Linked DNA regions of Stegostoma tigrinum. The protein of the gene in region 2 interacts with the protein of the main gene of each other region in a pairwise test. Links are inferred from orthologs where the notes say so. Each region holds a gene or a part of one and is shown on either strand. Other genes may lie near its edges.

Evidence for each region. The genes of interacting proteins can lie anywhere in the genome.
Region 1: the proteins of fam161a (region 2) and ccdc57 interact in binary tests that used the Homo sapiens proteins (3 or more experiments, as listed by UniProt). The two-hybrid records come from large-scale screens. The link is inferred for Stegostoma tigrinum from reciprocal best matches to the Homo sapiens genes FAM161A and CCDC57.

Annotation. Positions count from the first base shown.
Region 1 is NC_081375.1:27,668,032-27,675,045, forward strand, and holds the start of ccdc57 (coiled-coil domain-containing protein 57), read right to left. Parts: upstream 3,009-7,014; 5' UTR 2,968-3,008; intron 1,789-2,967; exon of another isoform or gene 1,375-1,788; intron 1-1,374. UniProt on the Homo sapiens protein: Pleiotropic regulator of centriole duplication, mitosis, and ciliogenesis. Critical interface between centrosome and microtubule-mediated cellular processes. Centriole duplication protein required for recruitment of CEP63, CEP152, and PLK4 to the centrosome.
Region 2 is NC_081362.1:40,580,715-40,588,382, forward strand, and holds the start of fam161a (protein FAM161A), read left to right. Parts: upstream 1-4,664; 5' UTR 4,665-5,174; coding exon 5,175-5,321; intron 5,322-5,369; exon of another isoform or gene 5,370-5,477; coding exon of another isoform or gene 5,478-5,492; intron 5,493-7,668. UniProt on the Homo sapiens protein: Involved in ciliogenesis.

The DNA of each region.
Region 1 (7,014 bases), on a different chromosome or scaffold from region 2:
TCTGTGATATCTTATCAAATGCCTTTTGTAAGTAGAAATACACTACAGGTTCCCCTTTGGCCATGTCAATTGTCATATCCTCACAGAACTCTTAAAATATTTGTCAAACATGATTTTCCTTTTATAAAACCATATTGACTCTGCTCATTTATATTATGATATTGTAAATATCATGCTGTAACTTCCTTAACAAGAGACTTCAAAATTTTTCCAATCACAGATGTTAGACACAAAAGCAGAAATTGTTGGAAAAGCTCAGCAGTTCGGGCAGCATCTGTGGAGAGAAATCAGAGTTTGCATTTCAGGTCCAGTGACTCTTCCTCAGAACTAGATGTTAAACAAATTGGTCTATAGTTTTGTGTTTTTAATTTTCCTCCCCTGTTTAATACAAACAGTATATCTGTAGTATTCCAATGCCTGGGCCTGTCCAGAATCTAGAAGACTGTGGAAGATTACAAACTTGAACCAAATTTCTCCAGTTAAAATTTCCATCCTATTTAATGCATGGCAACAGGGCCCACAGTTCACTGCAACTAAGTCTGAAAAGTAAATGATAGCGTAGTATAGCATTCACAGACAGGCATTAACCATAATGATGGCATCATAATTGCAATTTAGAAAGATAGATATTTTGGAAATTGATGCCAAATCATATATTTCCGTCAGATTCACTCAATGTAGAATCCTAGATGTGTCTTCCCTCTTTAAACCTGACTATGTCAACTTTCCCATTGCCACACTGGTGAGTTTAACTAATGCTACAGAAACTACGATACAAGGACTTTCTCAGTTGTACGTATGGGCAAGTTCGAACTGTCATTATGAAACCCTGTGCGCAACTTTATGTTATCTTGATCCTGTGTTGAAGTTGCCTCACTTTAAGTGCTTATAAACACCAACAGTCATGGAACCAGAACACTGTTATGCCTTCTTCTATCCATTGTTATTCTTGCTACTTTGATTCTTCCATTGAGGTCTGTGTCCATTTAAATAGACTCACTGGAAGTAGAACCCTCATCTTCACACTGATGGTAAGAAAAATAATCTAAAACGTACATTTCAACTTTTGAATTTAAATACATATTTTACGTATGCAATCTAATTAATATATTTTAAATTCCTTCTACCAACAGCCAAATCTTCAGTTTACCACTTCTTCCCCTCTTTTTTATTATTACTACTGCTATTACTGGTTCCCACCCCTGGTATCCTCCTCATCAATGCTCTTGATTCATTACTAGGAATAATGACTCAGGCAGCAGGTAAGTACCAAATGTTATCTTTCCAAATTTATGATTATTTTTGCGAGCCCTAAGTTGACGTAGTGTTAGCCTCACAGTATGCATCACACCTAAACTGAAATGGTTTCCTTACCCAGATGCCGATAGACAGCAGGAAGTAGCATAAACTCTAGCCAGTGCTCTTGATCAGCATTGATTTTCGCCAAACAATAGTCCGAAGACTGAACTCATTGCTTTTTAAGTCCCAGTTACAATCTGATCAACACCAACTTTCTGCATGAGAACTGTATGATGCTTAATCAAACAGTTTGCAACCTTGATTTCATATCAGTTTGTTCAGAAACGGCATCATGTCGAGCTCCTCAAAAACCTGACTTTATCTCTGAGCTCGCTCTCCAATCTCATCTCTCTCGCCCACTCCAACCGCCACTGTAACTCCACAATTATGCTTCAGTTCGTCTCTTTGGTCACAAAACGATTCAAAGCCCGTTCAAATAGGCCTCTAATTTCCCGTTGCCACGGTGACGCGCGGCGGTGCTTCTGTCAAAAATCCATTCCGGGGTCCCCCGAACGCGTGGAGTATTTGTGCCATCAACAATGGTTCCGTTTTCTTTGTAAGATGTATATTTTGTTCAAATAAATCAACTAAACACAATACATGTTGAAAATAAGTAGCAAGAGTGCTGAGAGAATTCATCCTTCTTCTTAGTCGTCTCAGTGATTATCATCCATAATGATTCTCTCAGTTGAAATGTATTTTAATTTTATATCGATTAGCCCAAAGGTTTTACGAAAGGATCTTCTATTAAAGGTTAATTAGACAAATATTTGAAAAAGGCAGTAGCACAGTGCTAAGCGTCTTTGCCACTGGGCCATTAGACCTAGATTCAAGTTGTAAAGAAACGCTTAAACAGGTTGATATAAAAATCAAAAACTGAGTTGTACTGGATTATTGGGTCTTTTGTTTTGGTGGTTGATTCTTAAAATATACGCAGGAGATAAGTAGTTTCTTGATTGGTAAGGGGATCAAAGATTACGTGGAGAAGGCAGGAGAATGGGTTTGAGAAATGTATCAGCCATGATTTGATGATGGAGTAAACTCGATGGGCCGAAAGGCCTAATTGTGCTTATAGTCTTATGGCCTATAATTCCTAATTAGATAAGACAGGGAGCTGAATTTTAACACTTTGACCTATCCCCATCATTTTGGAGGCGGAGAGGAGGAGTGGAGTGAGGCTACACTTACAGACCTCCCTCTCTCTCTCTCTTCGCTAATGTTCAGGCTGTTTGTATTGAATTGTTTAGAGAGCTGCTGGTCTGCACGTATCCACAATGTGACTCCAATCTCTGTAACAACAAGGATATGCTAAAGATCCAATTTTTAAAAAAAATACACAAAGACTTGCTCATTGATGAAAAAGCACTTTACGCATTCACACGTTTTCTGTTTTGGGTCCAGATTTCCCAACAATGAACCCTTTGCCAGTAAGTGATCATTTCCAAAAACAGCGGAAAATGCGTGAGAAACTGCAAGCATCAGCTCTTTTGCATGTTCTTCTCCGTTTAGGTCTGCAACAGAATACTCTCTCACAGAACTGGGATGTCATTTCTTTCACTGTGAATACACGTGTCAAAAAGGTTCAAGTTACCCCCACCCCCGACAATAAAGGCACGTCCCTCAGCATTTATTTTAAAAGTGCTCATGAACGACCATCCATCATCTAACCTTTCGTACTTCAAACAGAAGATGTTTGGCAACACTCAGCGGGATAGGCAGCGTTAGTGAGGAAAACAGTCAATGCTTTGGTTCCGTAAAATTTCATCAGAGCTTCGCTGAGATGAATATGTTTTCTAAACCTCGTCGTGTGCGTTCAGGTTTCAGTTCATTTCACAATTTACAAGTAGGAAAAAAGGCTCTGACTGGAATAATAAAGTATCCAGTTTTATCGAGTCTTTCTTGATAAATTATCGTACGTTCTTGCGTGGTGGAAAGGGAAATGGAAGACTGCTGATTCACAGCGCAGTGAGATGTATTTTACTATAAAAGGAATACACAACTCATTTATAGGCACTGGGTATTTCCTTCCATGTACTTTTTCTACAACGCCCGCAATAAATTACAACGACATTCCTGTTACACAAACTAGGAAAGTCGCGTGAAGTCAGAATGAATAAGCAAACAAGCAGAAAGGGAAGAACGAGCAAAGCAAATTTAATTCTTGAAATTTAACAAAGAAACAAAGGAAAAGACCGAGCGAAAGCACAAAGAGACAAACTAAACGTTGTGGTAAAAAGTGAAAGGATTTTTAAAAAAAGCTCCTTCAGAGAAATGCAAAGACAAGAAAAAAAGTTCTCATGATATGATTAATATTGACAAAACGACAAGTGTGTCATGAAAGGAAAGGGCGTAAACGATAGCAGTTCTTGCTGCAATCCTCTACTCATACTGCTAGATAATTTGCATAATTCGAGTTCGGTTGAAAGGCCACCGACCCAAAACGTTAAATCTTGTTTCTCTGCCCATAGATGCAGCCTGGCCTGCTAGGTACATGTAGCGCTTTCTGTTCTTTTTTCTTTGTCTTCTGGCACCTGTAGAATTCTGCTTTTGCAAATCATCGCAGTTACAACAATGGACCAGGTCCCGAGGAGGTGAAATCCAAGTTGTGGGACAACGTCATTTTAAAAACAAAGGACAGGGGAAAAAGTAAAAGAGAAATCATTGTAGCAGCTTTCGGATCTTCGAATTAGAAGGTTGCTGATGATGTCTTTCGTCTCCCTTTCAGTGGATGTAGAAGTTGCTGTTGCAAGGAGACATTGGAGTTTACCTGGCCAATGTTGTTCAAAAAAATCTAGTCGTCATCTCATTGCTGTTTGTTGGACTTTATTTGGTGGCACAAAAATGACTGCCATATTTGTCACAACACATTTATGGCATATTTAATGCCTCACCATACAGGACATCCTGATGTTGTGAAAGGCATCATAATGAAAGTTACCTTTTTCTTCATCAATTGGATGGATTCATTATTACATGAATTTTGCTTCTTTGTAGGTAACGCCACTTTTGTTACTCAATTTGCATGTAACAAAAAAAAGAGTTTGAAACAAAAACAGAAATAAGTGGACAAACTCAGCAGGTCTGGCAACATCGATGGAGATGGAAACAGAGTTAACATTTCAGGTCCAGTAACCCTTCTTCATAACTGGACCCAAAATATTGGCTCTGCTTTCTCTCCACAGATGTTGTAAGACCTGCTGAGTTTCTCCAGCTATTTCTATGTCTGTCTAGGATTTCTAGCATCAGTTCTTTTTATTATTTGAAAAAAGGTTTTCTCAACTCACTTTGTAAAGGAGATGTGTAGCTGTTTTAAAATCAGTTAATCAAATACCCCAAATTAAAACAGCTTCAAGGATGCCAGCCCCTTACAAACAAAATGTGTGTTTAAACCACACACTGGGAGATCCCTTTTCTCCCCAGGTGGATTGGTTGATCTCAAGTAAGACAACAGTAAAAGTGACACTGAAAGATTCAATATCTCTGAAATAGTGAGTGGGAAAACACTGTTGCCAGACCTTGTTCACTAACTTGTATTCCATGTAGGAATAAATACATATTTGGATATTGAATGAAGACAAGATTGACTTCAGCTGGAAGATCTCCCTCTGATCATGTTGACTGCCAAAGCTCGCAACCTTGACTCATACATGAAGAGTACATTTGCAGAATACTCAAGAGCAGCCTTGTTCGTGGTGCAGGGAGACCAACCCATGGAAGCAATTCCCATTCCACCTGAGGTCATCATGCAGGCCCCAACTTTGCAACCTCGCCTGCAGCCTGTTGACCCTCAGGTTAAATTAAAACACCAGTCACCTCTCTATTATGAGAGAACAGCCTATGGTCCCCTGGGACTATGTGACTTAGACTTCACCTCAACATAATTCAATGGCTTTGAGAGAACAGAACAAAATTGTAGGAAATGGGAATCAAGTTAAGAATTTCCCTTTTACTATTAGAATAATGAACTGGCTTTTTATTAAAATTACTTAGATTTTTTTACTTGGTATAAATGTCATTTAAATTGAATCACTAACAATGGACTTTGAAAATTAATAGTAAATGACTAGTGCAGACAGTTAGGGAGAACAGGCACTTTTTATAAACTGACAAAATAAAGCAGAAAGATTGGAGAATGCAGGGACAAAGACCCAGCTCATTGTCCAGCTACACTGTTAATTGCCCTGAATATATTAAAGACCTTGGTGTACAGGGTGTTGCGTTAGAATTTGCAGAAGTATTGTGTGATGTAAGGAGAATAGTATAGAATTTCAAGAGGACATAGACAAGTTGGTGGAATAGGTGGACAAATTATGGATGAATTCAATTCTGTAAGTATCAGTGATTCATTTTGGTAGGAAGAACACAGAAAGACACTACAAAATAAAAGGCAAAATTTTGAACAGGATGCAAGAATAGAAAAAACAGGGTATATCCGTATATAATTAATTGAAGCAGGCAAGACAGGTTGAAAGGGTAGTTAATAAAATAACTGGCATCCTAAACTTTATTAATGGTGGCAGGAGTATAAAGGATGTTATGTTAAACTTGTATAAAATACTGGTTCAGCTTCAACTTCAGCACTGTGAGAGAGATTGCAACAAAGATTCACATGAATGGTACTGGGAATGTGGAACTTCGGTTATTAATAAGATTGGAGATGTTGGGACTGTTTTCCTTTGAGAAAGGAAAGTTGACAGCAGATTTGGTAGAAGTGTATAAAATCAAGAGGGATCTGGACAGAGTAGAGAGGAAAAACTGTGGCTACACATGGAAGCAGAGTACAATCAAGAGCATACAGGCCTAAAGTATGTGACAAAAGAAGCAATAGAAGACAAAAAGAAACAAAAAAAATTTGATGAGGAGGAATTTCTTGCCTCAGAACAGAGTGAATCTGTGGAATTCTTTACCACAAAGGGCTGTTGAAGTTGGTTCATTAAGTATATTCAGGCTGAGATAGATTTTTAATAGAAACTGAATCAAAGCTTATAGGGAAAAAAACAGGAAAGTAGAGTTGAGGATTGTCAAATCAAAAGCAATCTCATTGAATGTAAAGTGGACTTGATGGGTTCAATGGTGTACTTCTGCTCTGAGGTTTTATGGTCCACACAGCAAATGGCTAAGAGGTGGAATTTACAGCCCGAAAGTATGTTGAAGGCAGGTGTAAGTGATGCATTCAATAAGGAATTGATTAATCTGAAAAAGAAGAATATGAAGGTTTTAGCTAACAGCCTGGGAGATGGTATTAATTACTTAATTGGCAAGCTGCTGGGTATAAAATCTCATTGTTCTCATTTCATGAAAGTAAAATGAGTCCAACAAAGCCCAATTGTGGGGGCCAACCTCCTGTTTTTCATAACACCTGAAAGATGTAATCAGAAAGGTGATGGTTACATTCTCTCTTGTTGGAAATTGTCATTGCCATGCATTTGTGTGGCATAAATGTTACTTGCCTGTTATTAGCCTAAGCCACGATTTTGTCCAGGTCTGGCTGCATTAGGACTCAGAACCTTCAGTCATTGATGAGGCTGTTTAGAGCTAGGACATTACCCCGGGAACTTCTGCAAAGGTGTCACTGAATTGAGATTAAGATCTCTCAAGTAATCAAGGCTGAATAGGTTTATAATTTCTGATATTGAAGTAGACACCGTGTGTAGATAATCTCAAAGCATATGACTGGCACAGGAGAAGAATACGCCAAAGACTGTCAATGCCAAA
Region 2 (7,668 bases):
CTACTTGCATTCAAACACCTGGACATTGGCCAACAACTGCAGTGAAGTATGAGTGCGTGCATCTCAACAACAACTCTTGTGAGGCACTGTGGACCAAGCTCTGTCCAACACTGAGCTGCAGTTCTCACTACACAAGCAGCACGGATAATGTAGTCAAAACAGTGTGCATGGAGGAAGTCACTGAATCAAGAAACTTGTGTGGAGAGAGGAACAGTTCCTATCTACAATCTGGTCTAACTCTTGTTCAAAACTGAAGATGCTGGAAAATGCTGCTTTTTATGTTGTAAACAGAAGGGGAGTAAGAATGAAGGGAACAGGTGATGAGGATGCAAACCCAAAGGCAAAGGCCAAAGGAGCGATTGAAATGTCAAATGGGTGTTAATGAAGGCATGAAATGGAGAAAATGTCTGCATTGCTCTGAGCAAAGTCAACAAACACAGCCATATGGGCAAATTGAAGAGAACTGGAGAAAGCAAAACACGGCAGGATTTAGGTAGTTAATAGGGCCCTGGGGAATATTGTCAAAACAGAGGTTTAGGCACTCAGTTCCTTGAAAGTGGAGTTGCAGGTAGATGGGATAGTGAGGAAGACATTTGGCACACTTGCCTCCTGTGGTCAAAACATTCCCCGGGGTCCAATCATTAACATATATGTCTGCCCAGGTTTGCCTTACGAGCTTGTAGCAACTCATATTAGGAGAACTGTTATCATGGTATGCCACACTCATCCTAAGACCTGCTTATCCACATATAGACTAAAAAAGTCAGATGGGCAAAGGTAACTAAATAAAAATTTCAGAGAATGCTTTCAGGATAGTTTCTTAGAACAGCATATTCTGGAGCCAACTGGACAGCAGTCTGTGATTTGCAAATGTGCCCTCGCCATAAGTTACAGTGACTTCTGCAATTAAAAGGTATAAATATTAATTTTGCTATTAATTTGACAGCACAATTTGACCACTATCATCACGTGGACCTTAGATTCACAGAGAAAAGTGAAACTTCTATTGTTGTGCCCCAACATTGTCTTTATCCCTACAATACCAAAGTTGTACATCCATATTGATGTAAACTTTGGCTGTGCTGCAAAAAAATGGGGAGCATTTCCTGCACATATGCAGTTGCAGTCTCAGTTGTGTTGGAGGGGTAAAAGATGAAATATGAGAGAAGTTTTTTTTAAGATATCTATAAAGAAAGGGAGGCATGAGTGGACATTGAACCACTGGAAAATGAGGATTGAGAAGTTGTAAAGGGGAACAAAGAAGTGGTGGAGGACTTGAATAGGTACTTTGCATCAGTTTTCACAGAGGAAGACATCAACAACATACCAGAACTTCGACAGTTGGGAAGAGAGGTGACTGTAGTTCCCATCACTAGGGAGAAGGTACTTGGGAAGCTGAAAAGACTGAAGTTGGATAAATCACCCAGATCACATGAACTACATCTCAGGGTTCTGAAGGAGATTCTTTTGTTATGTGTTTTGAAAGAAATAAGTGAGGAGATTGTAGTGGCATTAGTGGTGATCTTTCAGGAATCGCTAGAGTTGGGAAGGGTTCCAGAACACTTTAATACAACACCTCTGTTTAAGAAGGGAGGAAAGCAGAATACAGGAAACTATGGGTCAGTTAACCAGATCTCGGTGATTGGTAAGATTTTACAATCCATCATTAAGGATGAGATTGCAGAGTACTTGGAAGTGTATGGTCAAATAGGGCAGAGTCAGCATGGCTTCATCAAGAGGAGGTCATGTCTAATAAATTTGTTAGAACTCTTGAGGCAGTAACATGCAAGTTAGGCAAAGGAGAGCCAGTAGACATGATCCAGTTGAATTTCCAGAAGGCCTAGGGCAAGGGACTGGCATGGATAGAGGACTGGCTGACTGGCAGAAGGCAGAGAGTAGAGATGAAGGGCTTTTTTCAGCATGGCAGCTGGTGACTAGTGAGGTTCTGCTGGTTCAGTATTGGGACCACAATTATTCACATTAAACATTCATGATCTAGACAAAGGAACCGAGGGTATCGTTGCTAAGTTTGCAGATGACACGAAGATAAGTGGAGGGACAAATAAGTGTTGAGGAAATGGAGTGGCCGCAGAAAGACTTAGACACGCTAGCCAAGTGGGAAAAGAACAATGTGGTAAAGTGTGAGGTTGTATATTTTCACAGGAAGAATAGAGGCGTAGACTATTTTCAAAGTGGGGAAAGGCTTTGGAAATGTAAAGCACAAAGGGACTTGGGAGTCCTCGTTCAGGATTCTCTTAAGGTTAACATGCAATTCATCTGGTTCACTAATGTCCTCTAGGGAAGGAAACTGCCATCCTTCCCTGGTCTGGCCTACATGTGACTCCAGACCCATAGCAGTGTGGTTAACTCTCAACTGCCCTCTGGGCGCTTAGGGATGGATGATAAATGCTGCCTAGTCAGCGACGCCCTCATCCCATTAATAAAACAAAGAAAATAAAAATCTGGTGGTTATGAAGGCAAATACGACATTGGCATTCATTTCAAGAGGACTAGAAAAGAAGAACACAGATGTACAGCTGAGGCTGTATCAGGTTCTGGTCAAATTGTATTTAGAATATTGAGAGTTTTGGGCCCCACATCTAAAGAAAGATGTGCTGGTATTGGAAGGAGTCTGAAGGAGGTTTACGAGAATGACTCTGGAGATAAACGGCTTATCATATGATACAAGGTAAAGGAATTGCAATGTGTACTCGATGGAGTTTAGATGGATGAGGGGAGAACCTGAGTAAATTTGGAGGAGTAGACCGGACATAGAGAAGACGTTCCATAAGCAGGGGAGACTATGACCCGAAAAGGTAGCCTCAGGGTGAAAGGACAGCCTTTTAGAACCAAGGTGAGTAGGAATTTCATCAGCCTGAAGGTGGCGACTCTGTGGAACACGTCGCCACAGTCAGCAGTGCAGGCCAAGTGACTGTGTGCCTTTAAGATATAGATAGTTTCTTGATTAGTAAGAGGATCAATTCAGGAGAAAGGGGTTGAGAAACAGATCAGCCATTATCAAATGGTAAAGCAGACTCAATGGGCTGAATAGCTGAGTTCTGCTCCAATATCTTATGGACAGAGTGTTGAATTAAATTGAATACTCTTTTTCAAGATGGTGGCAATAGCAGGAAGAGAAGTGTTTGGGCTCTGTGTCCATACACTCCCATTCCCATTCACCTGGCTGGCTGTATTCTTTTTTTGTTTCTTCATTTCTCTTTTTTTACTCAAAGTTCACTTGTTTACTGTGGATGTGGTGAAATACGGCGGTAGCAAGAGCCTGCTGCTGCAACTGCAGCATGGTGAATCCGGATGACCGTTCCTTGTGGCCATTGCTATATCAAAGGCATCATTGTTGATGGATCTGGTCCATTAATCCTGGTGGCAGTGGCTATCGTCGTGGTGGCATGGTGGTTCCAGTTAATTCCTCTTGATTATGGCGGCAATGTGGTCATTTTGGGTAATCACTGAAGTGGCGATGGCTTGAGCGACAGATCCAGTGTTGGCAACTTAGTGGGTCCAGTCTGTCCCTCCTTGCTATGGCAGTGATGCAGTGTCCTCAGTGCAGGGTTCGATAGTGGCAGCATGGGGGTCGGTCTGGAAATTCTTGTTTTGGCAACTTCAGAGGTGGCTTTGGCCATGGTGTCCTATTGCCACTTCAGAAACCCAGGAGCAAAAGATAAATTTTGTCTCAATTATTTATTTTTATAATTTTTGTGATTAAAATGGCACCAAATTGTGGTGACTAATAAACATCTCACTGTACTTGCACAATTGCAAGTGATGGTAAATTGTTCTTCTCTTCTATTAGCTTAACAGATTCACCATTCAAGTTCCCATTTCACGTCTGTTCAGCCCCTAACCAACAGCAAATTCTCATATCCAGTCTACCTCTTGTTTATCAACTCTTTCCTTAGGAAAAAACAGTGCTTCTGATGAATCAGTAGATGACATCTAATCAGGAAATTTCAACAAATGAAATTCCCAACAAACATTAATCTAAGAGATCAGATAGTAATATTTAAGGACATCTTTGTATGAATGTGATCAATTAAAGTGGGTGATCAGTAAAGAATGTAATTTTTAACTCAAACCTTTTAAAATTATTAAATTAAAATTTCTTAATAAAATGTCACATACCAGACTTGTTTGAATGTTTTATTAAATCAAGATTTCAGATCTGTAATGGTAAATTAAAATTTCTTCCTTTGTTCAATTTCGGCTCCATTTTCTTTCAACAGTGTCTGCAATGAAAATCTGTCAAATTTCTGATTTTAAAATACCGATTCATATTACAATACAGATAAGTCAAAATAATTAGGTTCAGATTTTTGCCTTAGCAGAGATCTGGTGAAAATAGCAGAACTGCTGGATGATCTCGAATTCTGTCCTAGTACAGGCTTCGTCGGAGGCTCACTGATGATGTTACCTAGAATGGTGACGAAACGTCTGAAAACGAACCTTCCAGCTCAGCGAGCAAACTCACATCCAGAACCTCAACCTGAGCTACAAATCTTCTCAAACTCGCTAGGGGTAAATTGGGTTAGTGGCCGTTTAAATCAGCAGTAACAGGTGGGATTTTCTGAAGAAGGCTCTAGGACCGAAACGTCAGCCTTTCCTGCTCCTCTGATGCTGCTTGGTTTGCTGTGTTCATCCAGCTGTACACGTTGTTATCTCGGATACAACACTGGCTGTTTCCAACAATGTTATGGAAGTGGAAATTACCTTGGCAGTGACGCAGATATCAGCTGCTTTCTAATTACAAATACACAACGGCGGTGTTGTTTTACCTTACAGGTCAAACTGCTTGAGGCGAGGTTAAGAAGGCAGGACCTTCTTGATAATCTCAGCCCATGGGGGGGATTGAACCACCCTGTTGGCGCCACCGTGCATTGCGCCGTCCAGCTAACTCAGCTGGTATCCGTGATACCAACATCCTAATTTCACTCCAAAGTCTGCTGTCATTTTTAAAAATATATCAATTAACACAAATATTGATAGGTTCGCCATCGTTACAATCAGTTTGTGCCTTTCTCGGTAGAGGAAGGTAAAAGAGAATTGGAATAATCGCGCTCCAAAAACGAACGATTTTGACCCTGCGGGCTCCCCGTAATGTTAATCCCCCTCCCGTGGATTGACCGTTGCTGTAAGGGTTGCGGCGAAGTCTCGACGAGATGCAGAATCCCCACCAGTTCTCGGTTCTCATTACCTCCTGCATCAAAACCCCCGTAAATCCGAAGACCAGGATACCCTCTACTCTGTACGAGAGAAGGAAAGCGCCGACTTTACGAAACAGCCAGAAACCATCTGTCGCCGAGGAGGTGAGGGCCTTGCGGTTGTTGTGTGTTTTGCGGGGGGAGGCGTTTACGTCACTGATTCATGGCGGCCACGTTGTCAATGGTAACGAGGTCGGCTGCTCGAGCTGAGCTTTGGGTCCAGGGTTTGCGGTAATGTTTTTCTGAAAAAAATACTCAAGAATGAACACTGTTCAAGTTAGTGTGAATATTCTAGCCGCTTGTGTCTTGGAGCAATTTTTTTTTCTTAATATTTGGATTGATTATGCCCCGGCAACAAAAGTATTCGCTTTCGTCCCCCTTTCTTTCAAAGGCAGCACTCATATTCTATCGCCGCAGTTTTATTTGTAGAATCTGGCAGTTGGTTTTTCTCCCACTAATTTTAGACGATCGGAATCAAGTGTAAACTATTCGAAATGGTCAGGGTTTGATCGAATATGTGATTAGGGATTTCCATGATGATTATTGTGTTTATTGAATATGGCATTTCTTGGTAATAAATATCGTGTATTTTATGTAATTTTGCTCAGTGGATCAGGAGCTGAAGTCATAGAGTTGTACAGCACGGAGACAGACCGTTCAGTCTAACTCGTCTATGCTGACCAGATATCCTAAATTTATCTACTCCCATTTGCCAGCATTGGGCCCATGCCTATCTAAACCCTTTCTATTCATGTACTCACCCAGATTCCTTTTAAATTTTGTAATTGTCATTACTGATGATATTGCACCATGTCAGAGAGGGTAAATTTACCAGGGTTTGGCTCCAGGAGTTGTCTCTCACTTATAGTTAGGTCGTTCAAATTTAGTCTGTGATCAGCAATACAAGAGTGTGATTTTAGGTGAGGCAGGTATGGGGAAACAAGAGATAATGGGAACTGCAGATGCTGGAGAATCCAAGATAACAAAGTGTGAAGCTAGATGAACACAGCAGACCAAGCCTTCATCAGAGGATCTAGGCCCGAAATGTCAGCTTTTGTGCTCCTGAGATGTTGCTTGGCCTGCTGTGTCCATCCAGCTTCACACTTTGTTATTATGGGGAAGCAAGATACAGCTTTTAAGGAGCTTCAGTTCATGCAATTCTCCAACAGTTATAAGGTCTTTGAAATCAGCTTGAACCAGAGTGGAAACTGCAGGAAGGATGAGCAAACTAATAACAACATTGTGGTGCAGGGAGCCATTAATGTGGGTGAAGGAAATTGAAATGGAAATACAGGAGCAGTGGGAAACAGTACAGTTATGGGATAGATGCTGTTCTTCTTAGCTTGAGTCCCAAAGGCTGTATTGCCTGCCTGGTGCCAGGGTTAAGGACTTCTTTAGGCTGGAGAGGAATTTGGAATGGGAGGGGAGGGATCCAGTTCTCACTGTGCAATGTTGGTAACAAAAATATTGAAAAAACTGGAAAGGAGTTCTGCTGAATTATCTTCTGATATTGAACAGTTAGGAGCTAAACTAGAAATAAGAAATTCAAGATTCTGAGCCATAGCAAACTGACATAGGGTTAATAAAGTCAGAGTTAAATGCATTTCTTAAAGATTGGTGTTGGAAGAGTGCGTTTCAGCTCATGGGGCACTAGCACCAGTTTTGGAACAGAAAGAAAACGCCTTGTTGGAGAAACGCAGCAGGTCCAGTACCATCGGTAGAAGGAGAAATAAAATTAATGTTTTAGGTGTGTTATTAATTTCTCCAGTATTGAAAGGAGCTAAGAATGTTTTTTTAATGCTGTGGACTGACAGGGAGGAGGAACAAGCAGAACAGATTGTGAAGGCACCCTGTGCAAAAGTTGAAGGCAGTGATAATGATAGTAAATGAATATAAGTAAGTAATATGGATTTAAATGACAGCTGGTACAGTGACAATACAGTATGGAGCTGGAGGAACCCAGCAAGCCAGGCAGAAGAGCAAGAAAGTTGACGTTTCGGGCCGGGAGCCGCCTTCAGAAATGGGGAGGGTGAAGGGAGCTCAGAAATAGAGAGAGGAGGTGTGGGGCTGGGGAAGATAGGTGGGATAGTGATAGGTGAGTGCAGGTAGGGGTAGTGGGGATTGGTCAGTGGGAGGGGAGGGGCAGATAGGTGGGAGAGAAGATGGGCAGGTTGTGTCAAGTCAAGGAGGCAGGGGAGGGTTGGACATGGGATGACGTTGGGGTGGGGAAATTTTAAAACTGGTGAATTCCATGTTTAGGCCTCCGGGCTGTAGGCTACCGAGGCAGAATATGAGGTGCTGCTCCTCCAGTTTGCGGGTGGTCTCATTGTGACGCTGCAGAAGGCCCAGGATGGACATGTCACCAAGGGAGTGGGAGGGGGAGTTAAAATTGTTGGCAGCCAGAAGGTTGTGTATAGAGCACAGATGCTGTACAAAATGGTCTCAGAGCTGA